7 linked regions of the Callithrix jacchus genome follow. The protein of the gene in region 1 interacts with the protein of each later gene in a biochemical or structural test. Links are inferred from orthologs where the notes say so. Each region holds a gene or a part of one and is shown on either strand. Other genes may lie near its edges. The genes, in order: UBC, torsin-1A-interacting protein 2, OTUD1, CDC34, UBASH3A, RNF126 and WWP1.

The links.
Region 2: the proteins of UBC (region 1) and torsin-1A-interacting protein 2 form a complex in vitro, tested with the Homo sapiens proteins (2 studies listed by BioGRID). The link is inferred for Callithrix jacchus from reciprocal best matches to the Homo sapiens genes UBC and TOR1AIP2.
Region 3: the proteins of UBC (region 1) and OTUD1 form a complex in vitro, tested with the Homo sapiens proteins (2 studies listed by BioGRID, with this or other methods). The link is inferred for Callithrix jacchus from reciprocal best matches to the Homo sapiens genes UBC and OTUD1.
Region 4: of the proteins of UBC (region 1) and CDC34, one has a biochemical effect on the other in vitro, tested with the Homo sapiens proteins (10 studies listed by BioGRID, with this or other methods). The link is inferred for Callithrix jacchus from reciprocal best matches to the Homo sapiens genes UBC and CDC34.
Region 5: the proteins of UBC (region 1) and UBASH3A form a complex in vitro, tested with the Homo sapiens proteins (4 studies listed by BioGRID). The link is inferred for Callithrix jacchus from reciprocal best matches to the Homo sapiens genes UBC and UBASH3A.
Region 6: the proteins of UBC (region 1) and RNF126 form a complex in vitro, tested with the Homo sapiens proteins (3 studies listed by BioGRID, with this or other methods). The link is inferred for Callithrix jacchus from reciprocal best matches to the Homo sapiens genes UBC and RNF126.
Region 7: the proteins of UBC (region 1) and WWP1 form a complex in vitro, tested with the Homo sapiens proteins (2 studies listed by BioGRID, with this or other methods). The link is inferred for Callithrix jacchus from reciprocal best matches to the Homo sapiens genes UBC and WWP1.

Annotation. Positions count from the first base shown.
Region 1 is NC_133510.1:128,100,836-128,104,650, reverse strand, and holds UBC (polyubiquitin-C), read left to right. Parts: upstream 1-1,403; 5' UTR 1,404-1,418; coding exon 1,419-3,248; 3' UTR 3,249-3,315; downstream 3,316-3,815.
Region 2 is NC_133519.1:23,518,208-23,521,707, reverse strand, and holds part of torsin-1A-interacting protein 2, read right to left. Parts: intron 2,059-3,500; coding exon 1,540-2,058; intron 1-1,539. UniProt on the Homo sapiens protein: Required for endoplasmic reticulum integrity. Regulates the distribution of TOR1A between the endoplasmic reticulum and the nuclear envelope as well as induces TOR1A, TOR1B and TOR3A ATPase activity.
Region 3 is NC_133508.1:23,883,671-23,887,699, reverse strand, and holds the start of OTUD1 (OTU domain-containing protein 1), read right to left. Parts: upstream 2,801-4,029; 5' UTR 2,418-2,800; coding exon 975-2,417; 3' UTR 1-974. UniProt on the Homo sapiens protein: Deubiquitinating enzyme that specifically hydrolyzes 'Lys-63'-linked polyubiquitin to monoubiquitin.
Region 4 is NC_133523.1:505,363-508,504, forward strand, and holds the end of CDC34 (ubiquitin-conjugating enzyme E2 R1), read left to right. Parts: intron 1-1,931; coding exon 1,932-2,145; 3' UTR 2,146-2,642; downstream 2,643-3,142. UniProt on the Homo sapiens protein: E2 ubiquitin-conjugating enzyme that accepts ubiquitin from an E1 ubiquitin-activating protein, and catalyzes its covalent attachment to other proteins by an E3 ubiquitin-protein ligase complex. In vitro catalyzes 'Lys-48'-linked polyubiquitination.
Region 5 is NC_133522.1:48,266,989-48,269,851, forward strand, and holds part of UBASH3A (ubiquitin-associated and SH3 domain-containing protein A), read left to right. Parts: intron 1-276; coding exon 277-421; intron 422-1,126; coding exon 1,127-1,233; intron 1,234-2,134; coding exon 2,135-2,244; intron 2,245-2,863. UniProt on the Homo sapiens protein: Interferes with CBL-mediated down-regulation and degradation of receptor-type tyrosine kinases. Promotes accumulation of activated target receptors, such as T-cell receptors, EGFR and PDGFRB, on the cell surface.
Region 6 is NC_133523.1:625,004-629,303, forward strand, and holds the start of RNF126 (E3 ubiquitin-protein ligase RNF126), read right to left. Parts: upstream 2,801-4,300; 5' UTR 2,708-2,800; coding exon 2,633-2,707; intron 1-2,632. UniProt on the Homo sapiens protein: E3 ubiquitin-protein ligase that mediates ubiquitination oF target proteins. Depending on the associated E2 ligase, mediates 'Lys-27'-, 'Lys-29'-, 'Lys-48'- and/or 'Lys-63'-linked polyubiquitination of substrates.
Region 7 is NC_133517.1:40,734,736-40,738,690, reverse strand, and holds the start of WWP1 (NEDD4-like E3 ubiquitin-protein ligase WWP1), read left to right. Parts: upstream 1-1,155; 5' UTR 1,156-1,324; intron 1,325-3,955. UniProt on the Homo sapiens protein: E3 ubiquitin-protein ligase which accepts ubiquitin from an E2 ubiquitin-conjugating enzyme in the form of a thioester and then directly transfers the ubiquitin to targeted substrates.

The sequences.
Region 1 (3,815 bases):
TGTGACCCAAAATAAAGTCCTGTCCGTCTCGCGGGGTGGGCCAGGGCAGGTCGCGGGGGAGGGGAGGGACACCCCGACTCTGCGGGAGGCGCTCAGTTCCCGCCCCACGTCCACCGAACACGAGTTGGCGACCCGTGGCGACCGCGGGGGCTGAAGGGAGGGGGTGCACGATCGCAGCCGAAGAACGCCGGCCGCCCACCGACTCCAGGCGCCGCAGTTCCGGGCCGGGTTTTGGCGCCTCCCGCGGGCGGCTCCCTCCCCACGGCGAGCGCCGCTACGTCACAATCGCAGTGCGCAGCTAGTGCCTTGATCCCTCCGCCCGGCCTCTCAGGACGGCGGCCCGCTGCCCACCAGACTCGGCCCAGAACCCCAGTCTCAGCAGGAGGACATTTTAGGACGGGACCTGGGTGACTCTAGGGAACTGGTTTTCTTTCCAGAGAGCGGAACAGGCGGGGAAAAATAGTCCCTTCTCGGCGGTTCTGCGGAGGGATCTCCTCGGGGCGGTGTACGCCGATGACTATATAAGGACGCTCCGGGCGTGGTGCAGCTAGTTCCGTCGCAGCCGGGAGTGCAGTTGTGTTCGTGGTTTGTCCGTTGCTGTCATCGCCGCTTGGTGAGCAGTGGGGTTCTGGGCGGGCTGGGGCTTTCGGGGCCGAACGGCCGCGAGGTGGGATGGAGGCGGGTTGCCGCCCCGGGTCTAGAGACTGGGGAGGGCTGTCGGCTGTGTCCGCTAGAAAGGTGGGCTTGAGGTGGGGAGAACGCAGCAAAATGGCGGCTGTTCCGAGCGCTGCGTGGAAGACGCCTGTGAGGCGGGCCGTGAGGTCGTTGAAACAAGGTTGGGGGGCATGGACTCAAGGCTTGGAGGCCTTCGCTAATGCCGGAAAGCTCTGATTCTCGTGGGATGGGCTGGGGCACCATTGGGGGACCCTGACGTGAAGTTTGTGATTGACTGGAGAGCTCGTCTTGTCCGTTGCGGGGGTAGCGGTTACCGCGTGGCCGCGCGGCAATGGGGCGCGCTGTGGGGGGGGGAGAGCGCGCCTTCGCTCTGTGGTGACGTCACCCGTTCTCGTTCTGTCGGCTCATAATTGCGGGGCGGGGCCACCTGCCGGGAGGTGAGCGGTGGGCTCTTCTCCGTCGCAGGACGCAGGGTTGGGCCTAGGGTAGGACCTCCTGAATCGACAGGCGCCAGACCTCCCGAGAGGGAAGGGTAAGCGAGGCTTCAGTGTCTTCGGTCGGTTTTGTGTACCTACGGTTGTAAGGAGTTGAAGCCTGGGTTTTGAAAACAGGCTGGTGAGTGTGTTTTGTGAAGTAACGCAAGTTTTAATTGTTTGGGTCAATGTGACATTTAACTTACAGCATTAGGAAGGCTAATAAATTGCTAAATCCTGGTGGTTTTTGGCTTTTTGTCAAAACAGACAATGCAGATCTTCGTGAAGACCCTGACCGGCAAGACCATCACCCTTGAGGTCGAGCCCAGTGACACCATTGAGAACGTCAAGGCCAAGATCCAGGACAAGGAAGGCATCCCTCCTGACCAGCAGAGGTTGATCTTTGCCGGAAAGCAGCTGGAAGATGGGCGCACCCTGTCTGACTACAATATCCAGAAGGAGTCCACTCTGCACCTTGTCCTCCGTCTCCGAGGTGGCATGCAGATCTTCGTGAAGACCCTGACTGGTAAGACCATCACCCTTGAGGTCGAGCCCAGTGACACCATTGAGAATGTCAAGGCCAAGATCCAGGACAAGGAAGGCATCCCTCCTGACCAGCAGAGGTTGATCTTTGCCGGAAAGCAGCTGGAAGATGGGCGCACCCTGTCTGACTACAATATCCAGAAGGAGTCCACTCTGCACCTTGTCCTCCGTCTCCGAGGTGGCATGCAGATCTTCGTGAAGACCCTGACTGGTAAGACCATCACCCTTGAGGTCGAGCCCAGTGACACCATTGAGAATGTCAAGGCCAAGATCCAGGACAAGGAAGGCATCCCTCCTGACCAGCAGAGGTTGATCTTTGCCGGAAAGCAGCTGGAAGATGGGCGCACCCTGTCTGACTACAACATCCAGAAAGAGTCTACCCTTCATCTCGTCCTCCGTCTCCGAGGTGGCATGCAGATCTTCGTGAAGACCCTGACCGGCAAGACCATCACCCTTGAAGTCGAGCCCAGTGACACCATCGAGAACGTCAAGGCCAAGATCCAGGACAAGGAGGGCATCCCTCCTGACCAGCAGAGGTTGATCTTTGCCGGAAAGCAGCTGGAAGATGGGCGCACCCTGTCTGACTACAACATTCAGAAAGAGTCCACTCTGCACCTCGTCCTCCGTCTCAGAGGTGGCATGCAGATCTTCGTGAAGACCCTGACTGGTAAGACCATCACCCTTGAGGTCGAGCCCAGTGACACCATCGAGAATGTCAAGGCCAAGATCCAAGACAAGGAGGGTATCCCTCCTGACCAGCAGAGGTTGATCTTTGCTGGAAAGCAGCTGGAAGATGGGCGCACCCTGTCTGATTACAATATCCAGAAGGAGTCCACCCTTCACCTCGTTCTCCGTCTCCGAGGTGGCATGCAGATCTTCGTGAAGACCCTGACTGGTAAGACCATCACCCTTGAGGTCGAGCCCAGTGACACCATTGAGAACGTCAAGGCCAAGATCCAAGACAAGGAAGGTATCCCTCCTGACCAGCAGAGGTTGATCTTTGCCGGAAAGCAGCTGGAAGATGGGCGCACCCTGTCTGACTACAACATCCAGAAAGAGTCCACTCTGCACCTTGTCCTCCGTCTCAGAGGTGGCATGCAGATCTTCGTGAAGACCCTGACTGGTAAGACCATCACCCTTGAGGTCGAGCCCAGTGACACCATTGAGAACGTCAAGGCAAAGATCCAGGACAAGGAGGGAATCCCTCCTGACCAGCAGAGGTTGATCTTTGCCGGAAAGCAGCTGGAAGATGGGCGCACCCTGTCTGACTACAACATCCAGAAAGAGTCTACCCTTCATCTCGTTCTCCGTCTCCGAGGTGGCATGCAGATCTTCGTGAAGACCCTGACCGGTAAGACCATCACCCTTGAGGTCGAGCCCAGTGACACCATTGAGAACGTCAAGGCAAAGATCCAAGACAAGGAAGGCATCCCTCCTGACCAGCAGAGGTTGATCTTTGCCGGAAAGCAGCTGGAAGATGGGCGCACCCTCTCTGATTACAATATCCAGAAAGAGTCCACTCTGCACTTGGTCCTGCGCTTGAGGGGGGGTGTTTAAGTTTCCCCTTTAAGGTTTCAACAAATCTCATTGCACTTTTCTTTCAATAAAGTTGTTGCATTCCCAATTGGTGTGGGTTTTTTTTTAAGTTAAGGTATTTTTGCATTAGATAGGGTGAAGGGGATCAAGGTTTCCAGTCCGCAAATGTTACCGTGGTAACCATGAAATGTCAGTGAATGGGGGGAGGTAGATTTACAATATGAACTGTAGAAAGTGGGTGCAAATAAAACGCAGGTTCAAGACCAGCTTGGCCAACATGGTGAAACCCCAGCTCTACTGAAAATACAAAAAGGTGTGGCAGGTGCTTGTAATCCCAGCTACACCGGAGGCTGAGGCAGGAGAATCCCTTGAACCCAGGAGGCAGAGGTTGGCAGTGATTTGAGATCGCAGCACGGTACTTCCACCTGGGGGAACAGAGCAAGACTGTCGTAATCAGGTTATTGGGAGATACTTTTTCAAGTTACTTAAAAATACTGGTTGGGGGTGTGTGAGGTAACAGGAAGGGAGAAGGAATATTAAAAGGTGGGAGTGATGAGAGGGTCCCTGTGAAAGAATGAAGTACATAGG
Region 2 (3,500 bases), on another chromosome or scaffold:
GCCTTTCGAGTAGCTGGGACTACAGGCGTGTACTACCACGCCCAGTTAATTTTTATATTTTTAGTAGAGATGGGGTTTCACCATGTTGGCCAGGATGGTCTCAATCTCTTGACCTTGTGATCTACCCACCTCAGCCTCCCAAAGTGCTGGGATTACAGGTGTGAGCCACCACACCTGGCCTAAACTGGATATTTTAAACAATATTTTTTCACCAGGCGCAGTGGCTCATGACTGTAATCTCGACACTTTAAGAGGCTGAGGCTGGCAGATCACGAGGTCATAAGTTCAAGACCAGCCTGACCAACATGATGAAACCCCGCCTCTACTAAAAATATACAAAAATATTAACTGGGCGTGGTGGCACACGCCTATAATCCCAGCTACTCAGGAGGCTCAGGCAGGAGAATCACTTGAACTTAGGAAGCAGAGGTTGCAGTGAGCAGAGATCATGCCACTGTACTCCAGCCTGGGCAACAGAGTGAGACTCCAGCTAAAAAAAACAAAAAACAAAACATTATTTTTTCTACTTACAGTGAACCTGCCTAACAGTGAATTCTTTTTTAAAGAGATGGGGTCTCACTACATGGCCCAGGCACTTTAGCTAGAACGCAGAGGTCATTCACAAGGGTGGTCATTGCACACGGCAGGCTCGAACTCCTGGGCTCAAGCAGTCCTCCCACCTCAACATCCCAAGTGACTGGGACTAGAGGCATATGCAATTGCACCTGGCGCATACACAACTGCACTGGCAAATGGGCATTTCAGACTGAGCTCTTCCAAGTGCTTATAAAATACAAATCCACATAGACAATCACAGAAGGTGAGAGCTTCTCGTCTAACTTCTTTGTTTTACAAATGGGAAATTGAAGCACCAGGAAGTGAAGACACTTTCCAAAGGTCACCCAAGTTAGCAAGTGATAGGGCCACAACTAGAATTTACACCTCTTGAGTTCCATTTAAGGATTTAGCACACTGCAATGCTTACCTTCATAAGGGAAGACATGCTTGTTCCTCTTAGCATATAGGCAGACAAAATCAGGTATAGAGAAACTAACTGACTTAAAGTCCTATAAAACTGAATCGTGACTGAGTTAAGGATACTGTCCAATTAATGCTCATTTTCAAATATACCCATCTCTTGATTGATGTAACATTTAGTTCCCCAAAAAGTAAGATTTCAAAAATTGTACGTCAAAATATTCTCATAAGAAATAAAAAGCCAAAAGCAAATTTTTTAAAAGTCATGTCCCTTTTTGTCATATCACATTAACAGTTAAAAAAAACCTTGCTTAGAAATGCAGTTTATGTGTAGGAAGCAACTTAATATAATGGAATAAGCTAGCCATTAGCTTAGATGAGAAACCTCATTCCAAAATCCACTCAGTCGTATGGTTTTGTGCAAGCGTGGGCAGGGCTCCAAGGCCTGAATCCTACGAAAGATAGACAAAAGTTCTCTGGAAAGAAGGCCTCTGACTTCTGATGTGTTCTCAGTCAACAGAGCCATACAAAATAGGAGAGTAGTTCAGAGGGTTCTCTTACCCGGGACCAGCAGTCGCCGCCTCAGTGTATCCTCGCCCTCTTGCCCTGCACTGGAATGACCAGGACCCTCGGCCTCCTGGGAGCCTGCAGCAGGAGGTTCCTGAGGTGCTCCCATTCCGTCAATCACTTCCGTGGGGAGGGCTGCCGAGCTGCTCCCTAAGTGTTCGTCTGCTCGTCCTAACTTGTCACTTGGAGAATGGCTGGGATCTGGATCCAGGGGTTCTTCACTCAGACTTTCTGAAGGGAGGTGATGCCCTTTTTCACCCTCCAGAAAACTCTGGTTGTTCTCATGCTCTATTTGATCCTTTGGATGTTTCCCCACATTTGCTTCATCTGGACTTTCTGATTTATCACCTGTAACTACATTTTCTGGACCTATTGTCTCTACCTCTTGGTGGCCTTTGCTAAGACCAGCGGCAGAGTGTAGGGTCTGAGCTTCTTCAGCAGTACTTGTTATGATTGTGGTCTCTTGTGCCTGAGAATTTATTGATGGATCATTTTCCAAATCCTTTTGAGAGTCTATTGAGATAAAAATTTATAATTCTTATTGGAAAAAATTCCCCATAAATTTATATTTTAACAGTGTCTCTGTTTAATAATAATATTTATATAGATTTTCATGGTTTACAAGACACTCTTCCTAAACATTATTTCTGTTGGCTCCCACTAAAGGTGATTTAAACAACAACAAAAACTTAACATGTCAATAAATCTAAAATAACACTAATACAAAACAATTTGTATGACCAACAGATTGTCAGAACCAACTTTTGGTTATATTAAACATATCTTCTTCCCTAATGAAAGGCAGTGCTCATCAATGGTAGCTGAAACCTTATGCAAAGGCTGATGGGAACTTTTATAGTGGATGAGCCAGACTGACAACTGCTGAACCCAGTGACCAATCATCATGAAAACAGGGAAACCCAAGCAGACATCATTTACCTCCTAATATAACGCAGGAGGAAGTACTCTAGACCACCTAGAAGTATTCTTGCCAAACAAGTGAACTGAAATCTGATCAAGCTTCTAGACCTACCAGTTTCCAAGAAATATAGGGATAGAGGAATATATTAAATTATGCCTCAAGAATATAATCAGCAAAATGCAGGATGGGAGAAATTCCAAAAGACGTTTCTTTAATAACAGTAAGAAATTAAAATAAATGGCAAGAAAAGGGGAAAAAAGGAGTCTCTTAACTTACTGATCAAGAAACTTAAGAGACCATCAACCAAATACAATATGTGAACCACAATGTCTAGATCCAGTTTCGAATAAGCCAATCATTAAAGAAATATTTATGACACAATCGGCAATATCTAAATGCCAGATATTTGATGACACCAAGGAATTATAATTCATCATTTTAGGTGTGATAAAGGTATTGTAATTACATTTTTTACGAAGAATCATCATCGGCCGGATGCAGTGGCTCACACCCATAATAACAGCACTTTACGAGGCTGAGGTGGGCAGATCATGAGGTCAGGAGTTCGAGACCAGCCTGGCCAATGTGGTAAAACCCTGTCTCTACTAATAATACAAAAATTAGACGGGAGTGGTGGCGCATGCCTGTAGTCCCAGCTACTCAGGAGGCTGAGGGCTTAAACCTGGGAGGCAGAGGTTGTAGTGAGCTGAGATTCCACCATTGCACTCCAGCCTGGATGACAGAAAGAAAAAAAACGAAGAAAATCCCTTCTAAAAATAGCACATCACGGGATGTATATAACTCTAAAGATTTGTTTACCATCATTTTTTAAAGAAGCATTGTATTTTTCCATTGCTATAAGTCCCTACTATTGGAGTCTCTAAAACATTTATCTTCCTTATAATTAGGGTCTCACATTACGGTGAAGTTCAGTAAATCTGAAAGAATAAGTATAATCAAAGCAAATGAATCCATTGAATTAGCTTTTTTACTTTAAAACTTCAGATTTCAGTCATCAGAGATTTTCTCTCTC
Region 3 (4,029 bases), on another chromosome or scaffold:
TTTTTTGCCTTTTGAAAGAATGTAAAAGAAATACTAAGACAGTGTTCTCCTGCTATAACTGCCAAGGTTGGCTCCAGACATTTATGACATTAGTTTATAAATCTCTTAGCTGGATCCAAGAAGTTATATAAAGCAGGAGGCTTATCTTGTCACAAAATTTTATACCAAGTTAGATTCTCTTATAACAAAGTGACAAATGTAAATAAAACTGAGAGCACCAGACAATTTACACATTAACCAGGGTACAGAATAATCACTCTGTCATCGGCAAATATCAGACTTTCATTCAAGTAAGACCTGGTACTATCCCTTAAAAGAAGAAAAAAAACCTTCCCACAACCTTCTGTTAAGTATTTCTCTTTAAAAGATTCACCATTTCTAGAAAAATAATTATTTCCAACAGAACAGATTTGTTTCATCAAAATGGAATGGGCCAAACACTTGGTAACAAGAATACATCAATATCCATCTGAAATAATTATCTAAGAATTGTGAAAATCAAATTTCAACAACGTAAGAACTACCAAATCACAAACTCTGTTCAAAATAATACATTTCATATAAAGCACTTCTCTGGATTTATGCTTGAAAGCTGTCAAAATGGGACACGTCATAGATGAAGGTACACCAGTTTTTAAAAATGTTGTGCAAAAATACATTTTTATAGAAAATAGACTACCAGGAATGAACAAATTTACACTGTGAGAAAACAGCTTGCAAATTAAGTAGTGCTCACTTTATACAGCAAATTATAAATAGCAGTAAAATCACCCTAAGCTATCATGAAACATCATTTGGGTGCCCAGCAACCTTCAGCTCTGAGAAAACATTCAAAAAGATGATTAAGGCATTACACCTACAGTAAAATCTACTAGGAAGTTTGAAAGTGCTATTACCCTGATTAGAGTTCACGTGATTCTCCAAACACAAGTTATGTATGCAATTTTCCCAGGGTGTTAAGGTTTTGAGACACTTCAAGAGCATGCGTTTTGTTCAATATACATTTTAGACAGGGATATGGCCATAGATTTGGCAAGTTCTTCATCGCGTTTCCTCTGCACTTGAGTTTGTTTGCACCAGTTGTCGTACTCTGGGTTAGGATAGGAGTGATCAAATACAGCATCATAGTGTCCGTTACTGAGCCAACTGAGCCAAATACTGGGCCTCAGGGAATCCTCTGGGCCCAAATAATGAATCATGGTAGACACCGTGGGGCTCTCCAGCCTCCCTCCAGTAGTTAAGTGGATATTCACATTCAGCATCTGCCCCATGGCCAGCAACTCGGGGTACCCAGCCCATGCCCCGTCTTGGGCAGCAGCGATGAGAAACTCCCCTACGTCGCCCTCAATCAGGGGGTTGAAGTGGTCGAGATGGTCGGCGATGTAGTGCACGGTCTGCTCCCTCAGCTCTCGGTGCAGGCTCTGGTCGCCGTACACAGTCTTGCTGACAGCTCGGTACAGGCAGTTGCCGTCGGGAATGATGTGGAATCGATACTTATTTCTCTGCCGCAGGTATTTATCCTGCTTCTCCACCTCGGCCAGGTACAGGGCCAGCTTCTCGTCTCTGGGATCCGACCTGGGGACAACCACCGGCTCCACCGCGCTGCTCGGGGCAGCCTCGCTGCTCCGGCCGGGAGACACCTCGGCCTCCGGGTCGGGCCTCCGAGCCGCGTTCCCGCCAGGCGCGTCGCAGCGGTCGCCGCCCCTCTCCCAGGCCCGGGGGCCCCTCTCCGCCAGGTGCTCCTCGCCCCACGGACCGGGGCCGGCGTCGGGACTCCCCGGGGTGGGCGCGAGGCCTCGATGCTTGGCAGCGGCCAGGGCCTGGCAGTGCTCGCTCAGTCGGAAGTTCCGATCGGGCCCCTCCCGGGCCGCCTCCAAGCCCGTCTCGGGGCAGTCGGGCCGCAGCAGCTCCTCCAGGAGCCAGGCGGAAGAGCCCCGTCGCGGCGGGATGGGGGCTGCGGGCGCCGGGGCCAGCAGGAGGCAGCGGCCGCGCGGGGCGGCCGCAGAGCCCGCGGCGCCGGGAGCGGGCTCGGGCCCGTGCAGCAGGAGCCTGTCGGCGCCCAGGGCCCGCACGGTGATCTGCGCGGTGGAAGTGTAGTGCGGCGGCAGTGGCGGCTTGCAGGACGCGCTGGGCGGGCCGGCGGCTGCGGATCCGGGCGCGGTGGCCCCGGACACCACTTCGAAGCAAGAGGAGAAGGCAGGCATCTTGGCGGCGGGGACAGCGGCGGCTTCCCGGGGCTCTGTGGCCGCGGCGGGCTGGCACTCACCGGTCTCGGGCTCGGCGCCGGCGGTTCCCGGGGGCTGCAGCGAGACCTTGAAGGGGGCGGCGGCGGTGGCTGCAGGCGGCGCGGGGGCTGCGGCCGTGGGACCCGGGGCCCCGGCGGGGTAGTGGGTGCAGACGCTGCTGTAGAGCTGCATGTCCCTGCCCGCCGCTCGGCCCCTTATAGGCGCGGCGAGCCCCCGAGCGGGGGACACACCCTCCGGGCCCGGGGGAGGGGGCCGGCGGAGCGCGGTGACCAAACGGCCCCAGAATAGAGATGAGCGCCCGGTCGCCGGCCGCCGCGCGTCAGCAGCCGCGAATAGCTCCCGGGTCCCGGCCAAATTCCTGCTGCGCCACAGCGTGGGGGGAGGGCGGGGACGGGACGCGCGCTCGACCCCTGCCGGTGCGCTCGGCCTGCAGACCCTGGGCGCCTTGCCCGCTGCAGTTGCTGCGGCGGCCGCAGGGGACTCTCGGAAGAAGCTACCCACCCCGCTAGAGCGCGTCTCGCCGACAAGGAGGAGCGCGGGGCGCGCGGAGGCCCGGGAGGCGGGGCCGCGGTTGTTTACCTCAGGCCTCGCGGCCGCGTCACATGACCCCGCTGGAATGCGCGACTCGTCCGGGCGCCCGATTCAGCAGCACCGACTCGCCCCACCCACTCCGGCCCGCGCCCCGCCTCCTGTCCCGCTCCGCTGTGCCCCGCCGACGTCACGGGCGTAGTCCCCCGCGCGCGCGCGCGCACTCGCGCGCGGGCGGGGCGGAGCCGGGGGCGCTGAGGCTCAGGGGCCTGCGCAGTCTTGAGATTTCTGGCTGGGCCTCCCGCCCACGTGACTCCCGCGGACCGTTTTCCCCACCTGGGGACGGGTTTCTAAGCTGCGCCGCTCTCTGCGGTGGCTGCAGTGGATGCTGCGGGATGGGCGCTGCTTGGGGCGAGCTAGCATGCTTGGAAAGCTTGTGTGGCAGGAAAGCTTCCGGGCTGGGTGTGGAGGACGGAATGCTGCCTTAAAGCCTGTTTGGCCTCCCCATGGTATTGGGCTACCATACCTGCTTGCGTTCACCACTGCTTCTTTTCTTTTTTTCTTTATTTTTTTTAGAGATGAGGGTCCCTTCTGTCGCCCAGGCTGTAGTGCAGTGGCTCAGTCAGAGCCCACTGCACCCTTGACCTCCCGTGGCTCAAGCGATCTTCCAGCCTCAGCCTCCAGAGTAGCTGGAAACCACAGGCGTGCACCACCTCACCCAGCTAATTTTTTTTTTAAGGCGAGGGCCTCACTTCAGTTGCCCAGTCTGGTATGGAACTCCTGGCCTTAAGCTGTTTCCCGCCTCAACCTCCCAAAGTGTTAGGATTGATTACAGGCCCAAGCCACCACGCCTGGCACTACCACATCTTTTACCTTTTTTTTTCTTTTTGAGGCAAGGTCTTGCTTAGCCATCTAGGCTGAATGCAGTGACGCCATCATGCCTCGACCTCCAGGGTCCAAGCGATCCCCCTTCCTCAGCCTTGCCTTGGGTAGGGATTACAGGTGCCCAGCTAGTTTCACCACTGCGTCTTTTGTAGGCGCTTCCTTGGACTCACCTGTTAAGAGTGAGTCCTCTAGTGGATCCTCCTGCCCTGCTAAGACAAAACAAACTTTTCTGCACCTCTGACCTATGCCACCTGGTAAATATCTGACTTAGGCGAAAGCAAGGAAGCCTTTCATAAACAGCCGTTCTCAGAATACCAAAAGCATTATCACTTAGGGCCTTTTGAAAATAGGTACAATTGCTAGCCAGAGG
Region 4 (3,142 bases), on another chromosome or scaffold:
TGCTTTTTGTATTTTTAGTAGAGATGGGGTTTGCCATCTTGGCCAGGCTGGTTTTGAACTTCTGACCTTGTGATCTGCCCGTCTGGGCCTCCCAAGGTGCTCGGATTACAGGCGTGAGCCACTGCGCCTGGCCAAGCAGAATTTTAAAAGCAACCTTTAAGGCAAAAAAAAAAAAAAAAAATCTTTAAAATATTGCACCCATAATCCATGTGTGTCCCCAGCCCGGGCCCCACGAGCTTCCAGTGCCTTCCGTCTGCACTCCCTCCTGCATTTGCTGGCACCTGGTGTCGTGGAGTTGTCCTGGGGCAGCATCGTGGTGCTGGGCAGTCTCTGCTCTGAGCAGCCACAGTGGACAGGCCCCTGTGTGGCATCCTGGGAGGTGCTCTGCCAGCACCCACTGGCCTCTGGAGGTCAGGGGGGAGCCGGCCTGGCAGTCCCTCGGTGCAGATGCCCTCAGCGGCCCTGGCCCAGCCGTGTCACCTGGCACATGTGGCCAGTTCCTTGGCCCGGTTCTTCCTGGCCACCTCCCTGAGGTACCTCCCCCTCAGATCCCAGCACAGAAATAAAAGCCACACTATTTTTATCCCTCGAAACTCCCTGCAGGCCAACTCACGTGTGCCCATGTGGCCTGATGTGGTCGCTGCTTTCTGCTTGTTTTTAAATCGTGTGTGTGTTGGCCTTATGGCAGCCAGAGTCCCACTGCGTTGTGTGGGGCAGGTGCTGTGAGCCCGGCTTGTTCAGGGCTGTTGGTCTTGCTGGACAGCACGGCCAGACAGTCTTCCAGTTCATGCTGGGGGTGTGCCACTGGCAGGTCAGGTCCCATCCTGGACCTCCCCTGGGTCTCCCCACGCCCCACCCCCCCACCCCCATTCAGTGCTGGCCTCAGGGCGCCGTTGCCCACTTCAGCCTCTGTGTCCAGCCTGCTGGAGAGCTCGGGAAACAAAGTGCGGCATCTGCCGGGTCTGCCCAGGGACGTCTTAGAGGCCAGACGTCGGCCCTCCATGCCTCCCACCTCCCTACAGGAGGAAGCTCTGGGCTTGGGGCTGTCTGTCCACGCCCTGCTGCCCTCCTCTGCGGGCACTGTGGAACCCACACACCCCAGGAGCTGCCAGGCCCAGCGCTGTCCTGGTCACCCTGGGAGCAGCCAGGGCCAGAGCCTTCTTGGTCTGTGATGGGGCTTGAGGGCTGGGTTTCAGTCCCTAGCCTATCGCCTGAGGCTGCAGCCTTGTTCCTGTTTTCTGTCAAATGGGGTCACTGTGCAGCCCGGCCTTGCTGTGCGGGCACCCAGAAGCCCCTTGCCGGGAGTCCTAGAAGGACGTTCTTGATGTGCGTCATGGAGGTGGAGCTCAGGGTAGGCCATCCTTATAGGGCCTGGTGTCCATGATGCCCTCTGGAAAGTTGGTGCTAACTCATCCTCCCTTCTTGCCAGAGGCCAGCGTGGCCAGGCCTGCCTTGGTTTAGAATCCTAGCGAGGGCGTGGCAAGGCTCTGGCCGTCTCTGCGTCTCCCGTCCCACCTGTGCTGGTTCTCGGCTCCAGGATGGTCCTGACTCCTGTCCTCAGGCACCCCCAGCTGCTTGCTTTGCTCCTGCACTCAGGAAAGTCTTTTGCCCCGACGTGGGGCTGCACGGGCACTCCCTGTCACCCGGTGTCATGACTTTCTCCAGCTCCTGACGGGTCCCTGTGGGGTGTGCTTCAGAGCAGGATGGGTGGATGTGACTGCACTGCGCCCGTCAGCCTCCTGCCTGCGCCTCCTGCCCTTCCCAGGCCCGTCCTCTGTTGTGTCTCCCTTCCGGAGTTCCTCACTTCGAGCGTTTTCCTCCGAGGTTGCTGAACGCAGCGGAGCATTGGGATGAGCGTCAGGCATGGGGGTTGGGGGCAGGGGCCAGGTCCAGGCCCGTGTGTGGCGCCCTCACCCATCCTGTCCCACCAGGAAGCAGGTCCTGGGGACCAAGGTGGACGCGGAGCGTGACGGGGTGAAGGTACCCACCACGCTGGCCGAGTACTGCGTGAAGACCAAGGCGCCGGCGCCTGACGAGGGCTCGGACCTCTTCTATGACGACTACTACGAGGACGGCGAGGCAGAGGGGGAGGCTGACAGCTGCTTCGGGGACGACGAGGACGACTCGGGCACCGAGGAGTCCTGACACCGCTCAAATAAACACGCAGAGTTCACCTCACTAGGGCCGGACCGTATGGATCCTTAGACCACAGACTACCTCACAGAGGTTTTGTGCTCCTTCTCTGGTTGTTTTGTTTGGCTCTTTTTCTCCTTCCCATGTTTGTTCTGGGTTTTCATGTGCTTCAGAGAAGAGGGGCTGCCCCACCGCCACCCACGTCACTCGGGGCTCTGTGGACGGGGGCCCAGCTTGGGAGTGGCCAGCCCACCTGTCCTCTCGGGAGGGGAACAGAGTCCCGGCCTCTGCCCAGGCGCCGCGGCTTCCAGACTGGCTGCAGCCCAGAGGAGTCACAGGGAGCGCAGCAGGGAACGTGGGTGGGCGGCTGCCGGCCTGAGGGTCCCGGCCCAGCGTGTCGGCCCCAGGGCCCGGAGCCACATCCCAGTGCAAGTGGACAGATTCGTGGTGGCCAACTCTTCTCTCTGCTTTGGTTTGTGTGGAATCTAAATAAAACTACTTTATGAGAAGCCACAGAAGCTCTGTGGGGAGGGAGAGGCAGCCTGCTGGGACCCAGCTGCGCCTGGTGTGGGTCCGGGATGCCTCTCAGGAGGCGTGGGGAGCAGCCGCTTCCCATAGCCCGTAGCTCACAAACTGGGGTCAGACGGGCCTGGGCGGCATCCCCCAGCCTGCAGTGAACTGAAAGCCCCCGAAGTTCCTCCCTGTGACCAGGTGTGTTTCAGGGGACAGGAGCTGCCCCTGCAGGCATCCAGCAAAGCTTCATCCCAGGGCCACAGCCGCCTGGGCATTGATCCTGGTGCCTTGGCCACAAATGCCCCCATCAGCAATCTGGGGATGGCTCAAGGCCACAGATTGCCCCTTTGAGCACTCTGGGGGCTCCATCGTTGTCCAGGCAGACCCTTGGGGTGGGAGAGCCGTGGCCCTGGGCATACAGGGCAGGCACCTCGCATCCTGGCATCAGGAAGTCCCTGGAGTCGTTTTGTTTCATGGGGGAAAGCTTGGCGCCCTT
Region 5 (2,863 bases), on another chromosome or scaffold:
GGGACACTCACCAGTTCTCAGGAGACTCTGGCCCTTCCTGGCACACAGGGGGTCACCACTCCTCTGATACCTTCCCACGGCTCATCAGTTCTCACCTCAGAAATACCATGGCTGTGCCTAATCACAGAACAGTGTTTGCCCTGAAGAAAATCACATTGTTTTAAAGGCATGATTTAGAAGTGTGTGCATGAGTCTGAGATCTACAAGGAGACTTAACTTATGCAAGGTCAGCGTGGACGTTGAAGATGATAAACACTTGTATTCTGTTGAATCCAGAACTCAAACTGGAGAAAAAAATCAAGATACGAGTGGAGCCGGGAATATTTGAATGGACGAAATGGGAAGCTGGCAAAACCAGCCCAACCCTCATGAGCGTGGAGGAGCTGAGGGAGGCGCATTTCAACATCGACACTGATTACAGGTGTGCTCTTCTAAAGTTCTCTGCCACTGGGGCTTTTCTAGTTCTTGTTAAGGAAAAATTTCATGACACTGTTAAAATGGTGAGAAAGACTTTATTCAAGAGGGACCACTGCAGTGGGGTTTGCAGCAGGGGAGGGAGACGGGGCTCGACTCCTAATACAAGGACAAGTGCGGATTTGTAGCCACAGAGCAGGGTAGGAGCTGGTGGCTGGAAAACTCCTGAGAAGGCGGGTCATTCTTGCTAAACTGACACAAACAGGGCCTCCTGCTGGAGGCAGGCCAAGGTGATCAGATGTCACTTGAGGGTGGCAGAGGACAAGGAACTTGATCAGAGACCGAGGGTAACAGGTTCTTGCTAAACTCACTCTGCAAGAACAGACACAGAAGCCCAAGGGTCAAGCCTGCATGGAGAAGGTTAAGGGGAGCTGGACTGGAGTTTGGTCAAAGAGAGTCTTTGTTGTTCTCCACCCATGTCTGACTCTGCCATCACAGAGCCCTCCTGGTGTTCACTAAGAATGTGCTGGAGACTGACTGTTAGTGCTTTGCCAGTTTTCAGCACAAAACTAGAGCCTCCCGGTTGCCCATGAGCCCAGCCTTGAGGCAGAGCCGTCCCAGAAGAACATTCTCCTTCCCTGGCTAACTGCAGCCGCGTCTCCTGATCCTACCAAAAGGCCAGGGCAGCAGCCTCTCCCTCTCCTCCTTCCAGGCCTGCGTTTCCCCTGTCCGCCCTCAGGCCGGCCGAGAGCTACCAGGAGTACGTGGACAGGTGCACAGCGAGTGTACTGCAAATCGTCGACACGCGTCTGCAGGACAGTAAGTGCCTCACCATCCTCGGCACGGACAGCCCCTGGGGCTTGGGGATTCTCTCTGAGACGGCGATTGGCTGACTTTCTGAACCTATGAATGCCTTCACTTCCCCTGCCCCCACATTCTCCAGCCACAAAGTGCTCATTGCTGCTGCTGCGGTAACCGGGTGCATAGACACGCGCTCCCCCTGCCACCCTGGGCCCCGGGACCCCTCATCCCGGGACTGAGTGCTGATGGGCTGATGGGACCCAGGCCAGCAGGGTCAGCACAAACCACCCGCGTCCAAGGGATTCGAGTCAGTTTCCTGGGAAACAAAAGAGACAGAGAGGAGAAACAACCAACTTCTACTTGGAGCCCCCTTCCTGACCCACCACACAGGTCTCCTGACCCTCCAGCATTGCTTTGTCCCAGATGAAGCGCACGCAGAAGCACTGGCTTCCCACCCCTTCCCCCGAGCTGGCGGGGACACGCATCTCACCTGAGGGAGCCCCCTCCTCCTGTGGTCTCCAGGTGTTCTGTACACGAGTCATTGTAGGCTCGTGTAACAAAACAACCAATTGGCCATTCAGGCCCGGGCAGCAGCCACCGTACCCCATCCCACACGGGGCCCAGGCAGCGGCCACCACAGAGAGGGGGCAGCTCAGTTCACTTCCTAGGCCTCCCTGAGGCTGGCAGGCAGCTGCTGCACGCGAAGGAATCCACGAGCGAGGGTGGGATGCAGGCGTCACTAAGCCATTACCAGCCACACTACCTCCTAGCCCAGGGGTCGCTCTGGGTAGACTGTGGGGTCCCCAAAGTGTACGGAGCACTCTGAGCTAGCTCTGCCCCAAACACTTTGGGGACCCCAGTCTTATAAAAGGTGCTCTCTGGGCCTGCTTTGACCTGGAGGCGTTCGTGTTTCCCACAGCAGGTGTCATCCTAATTGTGAGTCACGGCTCCGCGCTGGATTCCTGCACTCGGCCACTGCTGGGGCTGCCGCCTCGGGAGTGCGGGGATTTTGCCCAGCTCGTGAGAAAGGTACGTGCTCACTCTTGGCTCTTAGAGCCACAAAGTCAAGCACCCCAAAGACACAGGTTATCACACCCCTTCTTGGGATGAAAACAAGTATCCAGCTGACCCAGGATCCACGTGCTCCTGGAGACGGTGCCCACCTGCTCCTGTGCAAACGGTGACTTCCTTGTGGGGCCGGTGGATAGGTCAGTCCTCATCATCACTGGTCACCTGCCGAGGTTTTACCAGTCAGCTCACCCTATCACCCCTTGCAGCTCTCGTAGAAAAACAGACAATCCAGAAAGGAGTAAGCAGTGTGGATGAGGAGAGAAGAAAGGACTGCATGACTCACCTGGCCTCCTCTGGGGACCTGCGCTAGGGCGGCTGACGGATGAGAAGGAGCCCCTCGGTCCTCTTGCTCTTGGAGTCACCCAGCACAGAATAAGCTTGATCTGTAGTTGCCAGAGTGCTCAGGTGCTGGCCAGGGCCTTGCGAATGACAAACAGAGGTTGATGCACACGTGGCATCTTGGACAACCTTGACTATCACCCAGCAAAGTGAGAGGGTGCCATCAAGTCCATGGGTGAACTGAGGCAGGCAAATGCAGGAGCTCAATCCCACCGGCCCCGGCCCCTTCTGTGCAGAT
Region 6 (4,300 bases), on another chromosome or scaffold:
CCCAGCTGCCTGGGAGAAGCCACCACACACAGGCATTCAGCCCCGGCAGGCCTCCGGGTCAGAGGCCCGTAGGGGCTTCCTGACACCAGCCTAGGTGTTTCAGCAGCAGTGGCGCCACCTCAGACTCAGCCTCGGGGCAAGCTCACCACCGGCAGAGACGCCCATTTCGAGGGTGCTGGTGGTGGCTGGGGACTTTCCCCATCACCAGATTTGGAGCAGCCTTCCTGCCCCAGAACAGGTGCGCCCAACTCCCAGCACAGAAAATCCGTTTTTGTTTCTTTTTGAGACAGCGTCTTGCTCGTCACTCAGGCTGGAGTGCGGTGGCACCGTCACAGCTCCATGCGGCCTCCACCTCCCAGACTCAAGCGCTCCTCCCACCTCAGCCCCGACAGTGGCTGGGGCTCCAGGCGTGCAACAAGACACCCACCACTTGTTTTTATGTCTTGTAGGGACAGAGTCTTGCCCTGTACAATGAAGTCCTGACACCGCCACACTGTCTACTGGCACCATGTTACGTCCTGCTCCAAAGGCACGAGCAGGTGCCCTCGGGATCACTGCAGGGTGAAGACAGGCACTCCCCTCACCCACACACCCGCTCCCTGCACTTGTTTACCAACGTTCATGACCAAATATTTGTCAGCCGCGGTTCAATGCTGGCTCCCCGGCCAGCCTATAAATTCCGTGAGAGCCAAGACCAGGACTACCAGACACCACTGAGTTTCCATGACTAAAAGAAGGTCCTCCCCAGGCCCAGTGACAATCGGAAGAGGTCAGGGTCCTCCTTGTCCGAGGCCACAGGGCCAGGAAGTGGCTCCACCACACCAGGATCCAGCCCTGTGCAGGCTCCCAGAGCAGCCAAGTATCAACAGGTCAGGGCTAGCCACCTCCAACAGCCACAACTCCAGGCTTCCCAGGACCTGTCCCAGGGCTCACACAGCTGTCAGGGGCTGCCCTACAACTCACCCTGGCAGGCAGTCTGTCAGCCAACCAACCCCTTCTGCCACGGCCAGGGGGCACAGGAAACAGGAAGGGGCAGGAGTGAGAACCCTGAGAGGCACAGCAGCAAGACAAGGCTCAGCCTCAGCTCCCTAATCTTCGCCCCACACCCAGGATTTTACTTGATTTGTTCCTCCTGCTGGGGAGGGGAAGCCCTGTGGCTTCAGCAGAGAGGAAGCCACACCTCTCTACTCTCTCCACTCCTGGCCTGTGTCACTGCTCTCCCGTCATGCCCCAACTCTAGCACTGGTTCCTCCTCCGTGACCAAGAAAGCTGCTTCTCCTGACTCCCTCCAGCCCCTTCCGGGGTCTCTGCTCCCAAGGAACGCTACTGCTTCTGGAGGGCTTGGGCGCCTCTAATGGGTCAAACCGTAGCAACAGCCGGGTGGTAATGCACAGAGAGAGCACAGAAAATCCTCAACGCCTGCAGCCTCTTCCCGTGGGCACAGGGTAGGGAGTCCAGACACGGCTCCACCTCTTGCACCTGCTCCCCTCAAGTTGGCAGCTCCCGACTGAGCAGGCTCTGCCTTTTCTGCTGAGCCACCACGGACCTCAGTTTCCCCATCTGCAGGCGTGGCTCAAAGAAATCACCACTTTCCACATTAGCCTGAGAAAGGGAAACACTGGTCACAAATGCAGACCACCGCCGGGCACGGTGGCTCACACCTGTAATCCCAGCGCGTTGGGAGGCAGGGGGATCACTTGAGCCCAGGAGTTCAAGACCAGCCTGGGCCACACAGTGAGACCCTGTCCCTAAAAATAGTAATAGGAACGCCAACTGCCGAGCCCGTTCCAGACCTGCTGACTCCGAAACCCCGGAGAAGGGGCCTGGAAATAGCACGTTCCACGAGCACCGCTCCCACCTGCCCCCAAGGTGACATCAGGTCCGCGTGGGAAACATCGCCCTAAATAAGCAGGAAGTAACACTCGGAACACCCAGGCCCGGGGTCCCCTTGAGCCAAGGGTGGCTGTAAACACTTCGAGAAAGGGTGGGCTGCTCAACCCAGCCCCGGGAAGGGAAGAACGCAGGCTCGGGTCACAAAGCCCTGCCGGAGGGCCGCGGTCGGAGCCCGGGACGGTGCCTGGAGCCTTCCGGGCCTGGGCCTGACTCCCAGGCGGCGGCCAGGGCCCCACGAGGCGAGCCTAGGGCGCCCCGGACTGCGCGCTCGGCGGGGGTCCCCTGGCGTTATTCTCGGGGTCTGCGCCCCGCCAGGCCCGGCCCGTGGCCCGCACCGCGCCCCTGGGCAATACCCTCTGCTCGCCGGGCCTCACTTTCTCCGTTTTACAGAACCAGGCTCACGGGGTTCGGAGGAGCGTTCCCACCTGGGGTCCCCGCGGCCTCTCGGATCGAGAAGGCAGAGGATGTGGGATCACCCGACCCAGCTGCGCCGCCCCGGCCAGGCCCCGCCTCCCCCCTTCCGGGCCTCAGTTTCCCGCATGTGCAGGACGGGGTTCGCGCCCGCACCGCCCGGGCTCCCCGCGGATCCACCCTGGGCCGGCGCTGTCCCCACCCTCAGTTTCCCCGTCGTGGCCACCTCGCGCGAGGAGCGGGCACCGGCGACCTCCACCCCGGCCCGGGCCTTGCCTCAGGCCTGCGGCACAGACCCTACCGCCCGCCGCCCCGGCCCGGGCCTCACCGGCAGGCGCGGGACGATCTCCACGGAGCAGCAGTGGCAGAAGTACCGTCCGGGCTGCGGCGACGCCTCGGCCATGGCCGCCGCCGCCTACTCCGTGCCGCCCGCCCCCTGCGCGGCGCCCGCCGCCGGCCGTTTGCGGCTCCCTCGCCGGCCGACGCGCCCACGCACGCTCACGCACGGCACGCACGGCACGTGGGGCGGGACGCGGGCGCGGCGTAATGCTGCGCACTCGGCGGGCGGCGGGCGGGGCGACGGTGGCCGCTGAGAGACAAACTAGGCCCGGCCGATGGGCGGGGCTCCGAGCGGGGGCGGGGTTCTGGAGGGGCGGGGTTCTGGAGGGGCGGGGCCAAGCCCCGGCGGAAGAGACGAGGAGCGAAGCCCTCCTCGCCATTCAATCCTGCCAAGGCCCTCCTTTCCTTCGGAGCTTCCCTACCTTATCGTCCTCTCCCCTCACGGTACTGCAGACCCCTGTCCCCACTGCTCCCGGGGCTCTCCAGGCGCTCTCTCCGCTCCGGGCGTCTGCACCGGCCTAGTCCCCCTACCCCGCCCGGTGCCCCTCCCCCGACGCCCACGTGGCTTTCTTCCAGGCCTTTGCTCAAATGTCAGCTCACGGGGTCTTCTCTGCCGCCCTCCTGCCCCGCGGCACTGATTCCCACCCCGTGCACTGTAAGGCCAGCCGCGCGGCCAAGGGGTGTTCGCACCCGCAGTAGCGCCTGACACCCGGCAGGCGTTCCATCAGCGCTGCGAAACGCCTGCAGACCGGGGACTCGGCTACCGGCTGTGCCTCACCGGGACCCGGGGGTCAGACAGAGGCTGAGGTCTGTGGGGTGCGGCCTTGCTTTCCAAGATGTTTTATGCCCAGGCGCCTTTGGAGGGAGGAGGAGGCAGGAAACCTAACCCCGCTTCCAAAATTAAGCAGTAGAGGCCGGGCGCGGTGGCTCACGCCTGTCGGAGGCCGAGGTGGGCGGATCACTAGGTCATGAGTTCGAGACCAGGCTGGCCGATATGATGAAACCCTGTCTTTACTAAAAATACAAAAATTACCCGGGCGTGTCAGCGCTCACCCGTAATCCCAGCTACTCAGGAGCCCGAGGCAGGAGAATCGCTTGAACCCAGGAGGCGGAGGTGGCAGTGAGCTGAGATCCAGCCACTGCACTCCAGCCTGGGCAACAGAGCAAGCAAGACTCCCTCTCAAAAAAAAAAAAAAATTTTTTTTTTTTTTAGAAAGAAAATTAAGCAGTAGAAACAGTAGCATCACCCAGCGCAGGATGATTTCTGAGGTCAGCTCTGGCCCAATCGTGCATTTATTTTTTTATTCACTCAACATTCACCGCACACCAGACCCCGTGCTGAATGCACGCAGACACCTCCAGCCCCATGAGATTGGACCGGAGGATGGGACTCGACGGTGGCCCTGGCTCTGCCTGGGGAGACAAAAAAGGTGTCCGAGGGGAAACTACATTGGATTCAGGGCTTTGAGGGATGAATAGAGTTTCGCTGGAGTTGGACATCCTGCAAAATGAGGCATTGGAGCCAGACTGTTGAGGAATTAAGAGTTGGAGACTGGGCATTTAGAGTTTGTTTTTGTTTTTGAGATGGAGCCTCGCTCTGTCGCCCAGGCTGGAGTGCAGTGGCATGATCTCGGCTCACTGCAACCTCTGCCTCCCG
Region 7 (3,955 bases), on another chromosome or scaffold:
CAAACCTGTAGTCCCACCTACTTGGGAGGCTGAGGAAGAATAATTGCTTGAACCTAGGAGGCAGAGGTTGCAGTGAGCGGAGATCGCTCCACTGCACTTCAGCCTGGTGACGGAGTGAAACTCTGTCAAAAAAAAAAAAAAAAGTGCCAAAGGACTGCTCTCAGTGGAGAGCAGGCAGTGGTGTGGGCAGGGACATCTAGCCTCCCAGACAGAAGGAAAACAAGTGTGGACGTAGGGATAATCTATGGGGGAGTTGATTGGGGAAAAATTGTAGAAATCCATGCCTGAAGGCTTCTGCTTCTCTGAAGTAGAAAACCGGATCATCTGTTAAGTAATGCGGTTCCACTGACTTCTATTTGCACATTAGCCTTTCTTCTAAAAGCTACACATAACCAACAGCACTTCCTAAACCAGTTGACTTTTCTGTATAATGGAGACAGTAGACGCTACTTTATGGGATTGCTGTATGGGTTAATTGTGCCAACACGTGTACTTGCTCAGGAAGTATTAGCTTTATCACTGGGCTGATGTGAGTGAGGGCAGGGGAATGAAGGTTTTGATTAATAAATAATGGACTGCAAGTCTTCGGGTATGACCATGGATAAATGCAGTTATTTACTCTTGCAATGGGTTCTAAGTCAAACCCTCAGCTAGGTCAGGGAGTAGTTATGAACAGCCTACTTTTGCCCCAGGACCTTAAGAAGTCTTGCTCTGGGATCGGCCGCCTACCGGAAAGTCGTGTTCTCAGTGCCCAGCGCGGTCTTAGAACAGCCTCTTCCCAAATCTCAGCGGCGGCCCCGCCCCTTCCACAGGTTCAGGCCCCGCCCCTCCCTGCTATTGGCTGTCCCTCCCATTTGCTCGACCGCTCTCAGGACCCGGAGGAGCGGAGTTTTCTAAGGCAGCCTCCGAGCGCCCTCGCTGCGCATGCTCGGGGGAGGCCGATTCCGGGTCCGGAGTTGGAGGCTTTGGGCTGTCGCGGCGTCGCGCGCGGTGCCGGGGCCGGCGGGGAGGCGCGCGCTCGGGGCGCGGCGCCGGCGACGCTGCCACGCAGCGCGCTCCCGAGGAAGGGAGGTGTGGGGTCGCCTGGGGGTGGCGCGTGGCCGGGGTGGGGGTGGGGGGAGGGTCGGGTGTCGGCGAGCTCGGCGTGCGGGTTCCGAGTGTCTGAGGCGGCCTGGGCTGCCGGGGCCGACGCCTGGGTGGCTGCCGCCGCCGCGCCTGCTAAGAGATGGCGATCTTGGGCGCGGAAGGGTGAGGGCGCCCGCCGCAGGAGGAGGTGTCCCTGCCGTGGCCGCCCGGCTGCCGGGAGCCGACAGCTTCGCGCCGGGTAAGGACTGCGCGGCGCGGGGCTGGGGGCGCAGGACTGGGGAGGCGGGCGGGGAGGGAGGGGGCGCGGGCCCCGAGCCTTGGCCGCGGTGCCCGGCACCCGGCGCCGTCCGCCTGCGGGCGGGACCCTCCAAGGGGCAGTGAGAGGACGGTCCACCCTGCCTTGTCTGCCTTCTCCGCCTTCTCCAGCTCGGGAGCCGGGAGTTTTCTGGGGTGGGGTCACGGGTCTTGCCCAGAGTTGGCCCTGGCACAGGCCTGTGCCAGTGATCCTGAGCGGAGCTAAATGTTTCCGTGACTCTGCAGCCGCGGTTCTTCCTCAGCCTTCTCTTCGGTTTCCTTCACCTTTTCCTACCTCACTCAGAACACAAATATAGGGACTCATTGCCCGTGCCCTGAGTTTTCACCCCAATTTCAATGTTGCAAACCAAGGACTCCAGCCTTGGAATGCCTTTTTCTGACGTGTTTTTGTCACTCCCGGTTCTTCACCGACTCTGCAGCTCCCCTCCCTGCCCCCCCAGCGCAACCCCCACCTCTACCTTTTGTGACCTGGTAGGTCCCGGTGACCTTGCAGATTTTACCAGTCCTTTTTACCAGTCCTTATCTTGTCTGTGACTTACACACTTACCTTTCATCTTCGTTTTCTTTTATAAAATTTTTCATTTTCTTGTTTGCCCCTTACCTTTACGACCTTTAAATGATCAGTCTTGTTCACAGTCTTCTCTGCTCTGTGGATTTGGAGTTTTCTTTGCTCTGGTAATTATATGAAACCTTCATTACCAAAGAAGAGTAGCATCTGTTATAATTTTGACATTCACTCTTCCAGTAAAATATTTTCCAGGGGCTTTTGCTTTCTTTTTCTATTTGAAAAGTTTAACAGTTTTGGTTTTTTTTTTGTATGTAGGTTAATGTGGAACAAGATTTTGTGTTTCTGCTTTAAAATGTTACTGGTAATAGTAATGGGGAAAAAAATAATATCCACAGTTGTCTTTGTTTTCTCCGTTTGGTGATTTTGCCAGAAATACATGGGTTTACAGTTATCTGCAGGTTTTATTTATTTATTTTTTTACAAGAGTTCATGTGTATGTGTAAATCCTGCCTCACCAAATCTGTGTGTATTATGCAAGCAAAGAAAGTCGTTCTTGTATTGTGTGACTTGTTTTTAGCTATCAAGTTGGAAATTAGCTGCGACTAGAAATGATCATCTTTCATAAATAGTTAATATTTTAAAAATGGAAAGTATAATGGCCAAGTGTTTGGATCTACTCAGATTGAAAATTGTAAAGTATGTGAAATAGTTCTTTGGGACCTAGCTTATTAACATTTTCAGATAGTTCTTACCTTAAAATGCAAAACTGCTGGTAAGACCTATGACATCAGGATTTTCAAAAGCAATAATTACTAGTTATGTTTTTTGGAAGTCGGCCTAATAGAGAATGTCACAGATAAAGTCTCTGCCTTCAAAGAGATAGTAATCTTTGCTGTTTACCCCATGGTGGCTGAAATTTCCTTTACTTCCTTGTACAGATGTTAGGCATTTACTGCATAATTGTGGGGGATATTTTGGGGAATACAAAAATGAACTGATTAGCAGTTTCTGCTTTTACACTAATTAGGTAGATAGTGCTATAAACAAATGCCCTATTTGTCTTTTAATATATACGTTTCGTAAACAGTACCAAAATCCTCTCAGAAGTCAACTTCAAAGAGAGTAGAGCTCAGATCTTACTTGGCAAGGTAGGGATAAGAGGGTTAGTTCGTAGAGCTTCTGGCTTCTGAAATCGTGGTTTTGAAGGATCACTATGACTTTGGATAGGCAGGAAAGGTAATCCAAGCAGAGAGGGATCTCTAAGAGAGCACAGAGTTCCTGTTTGGGGAGAGGCAAGTAATTATGTTTGGGTGGAACATAGTGTTATTTGTATTTGGATAAAGGGTGATAAAACATGAAGTAGAAATTTGGAACAGTTTATGGGTTGTTTTTAATGCCAGGCTTATGAACCTTGGATTTACTAGGTGGTGGGGCTTCCACAGATGATTTTGAATTGGGAGTAAAACAATTTGAACACTTTGTTTCAGAGGGATTAGTGGGATAGCAGCCTGTAGTGTGAGTTGAGGTAGGGAGCGTGTGGAGGTAGAAAGACCTCCCAAGTGTTGTAGTCTGAGGTGTGGTGCACGCGAATGGAAAGGAAGAAAGGAAGTAGAATAGCCAAAATTTGATGAGAGGGCAAATGAAGAAAGTAAAAGTAACAGATTCTGATCCAGGTTGGTTGGGAGAACGTGGTACCATTTTGAGCAAAATCATGAAGCTTTACCCTCAGCATATGTGTGCTACTTTACAACCTTTTGGGGATTACTACTTCTTGGTGAAACTTAAGAAATCTGCTGGCCTGGAAAACTTCCATATGTACCTGTGCTTTGTGGCTACAGTTTTAGGAGAGTCCGTGGACCATCTGAAGGTCATCCATGGCACCCATCTCAGAATTACTTGGAGCTTTTTTTTTTTCCTGAGGTAGAATTTCTTTCACTCCTTCCAGGCTCATTGCAACTCCCACCTTCCAGGCTCAAGAGATTCTCCTGCCTCAGTCTCTCGAGTAGCTGCAAACACAGGCACTTCCCACCACACTTGGCTAATTTT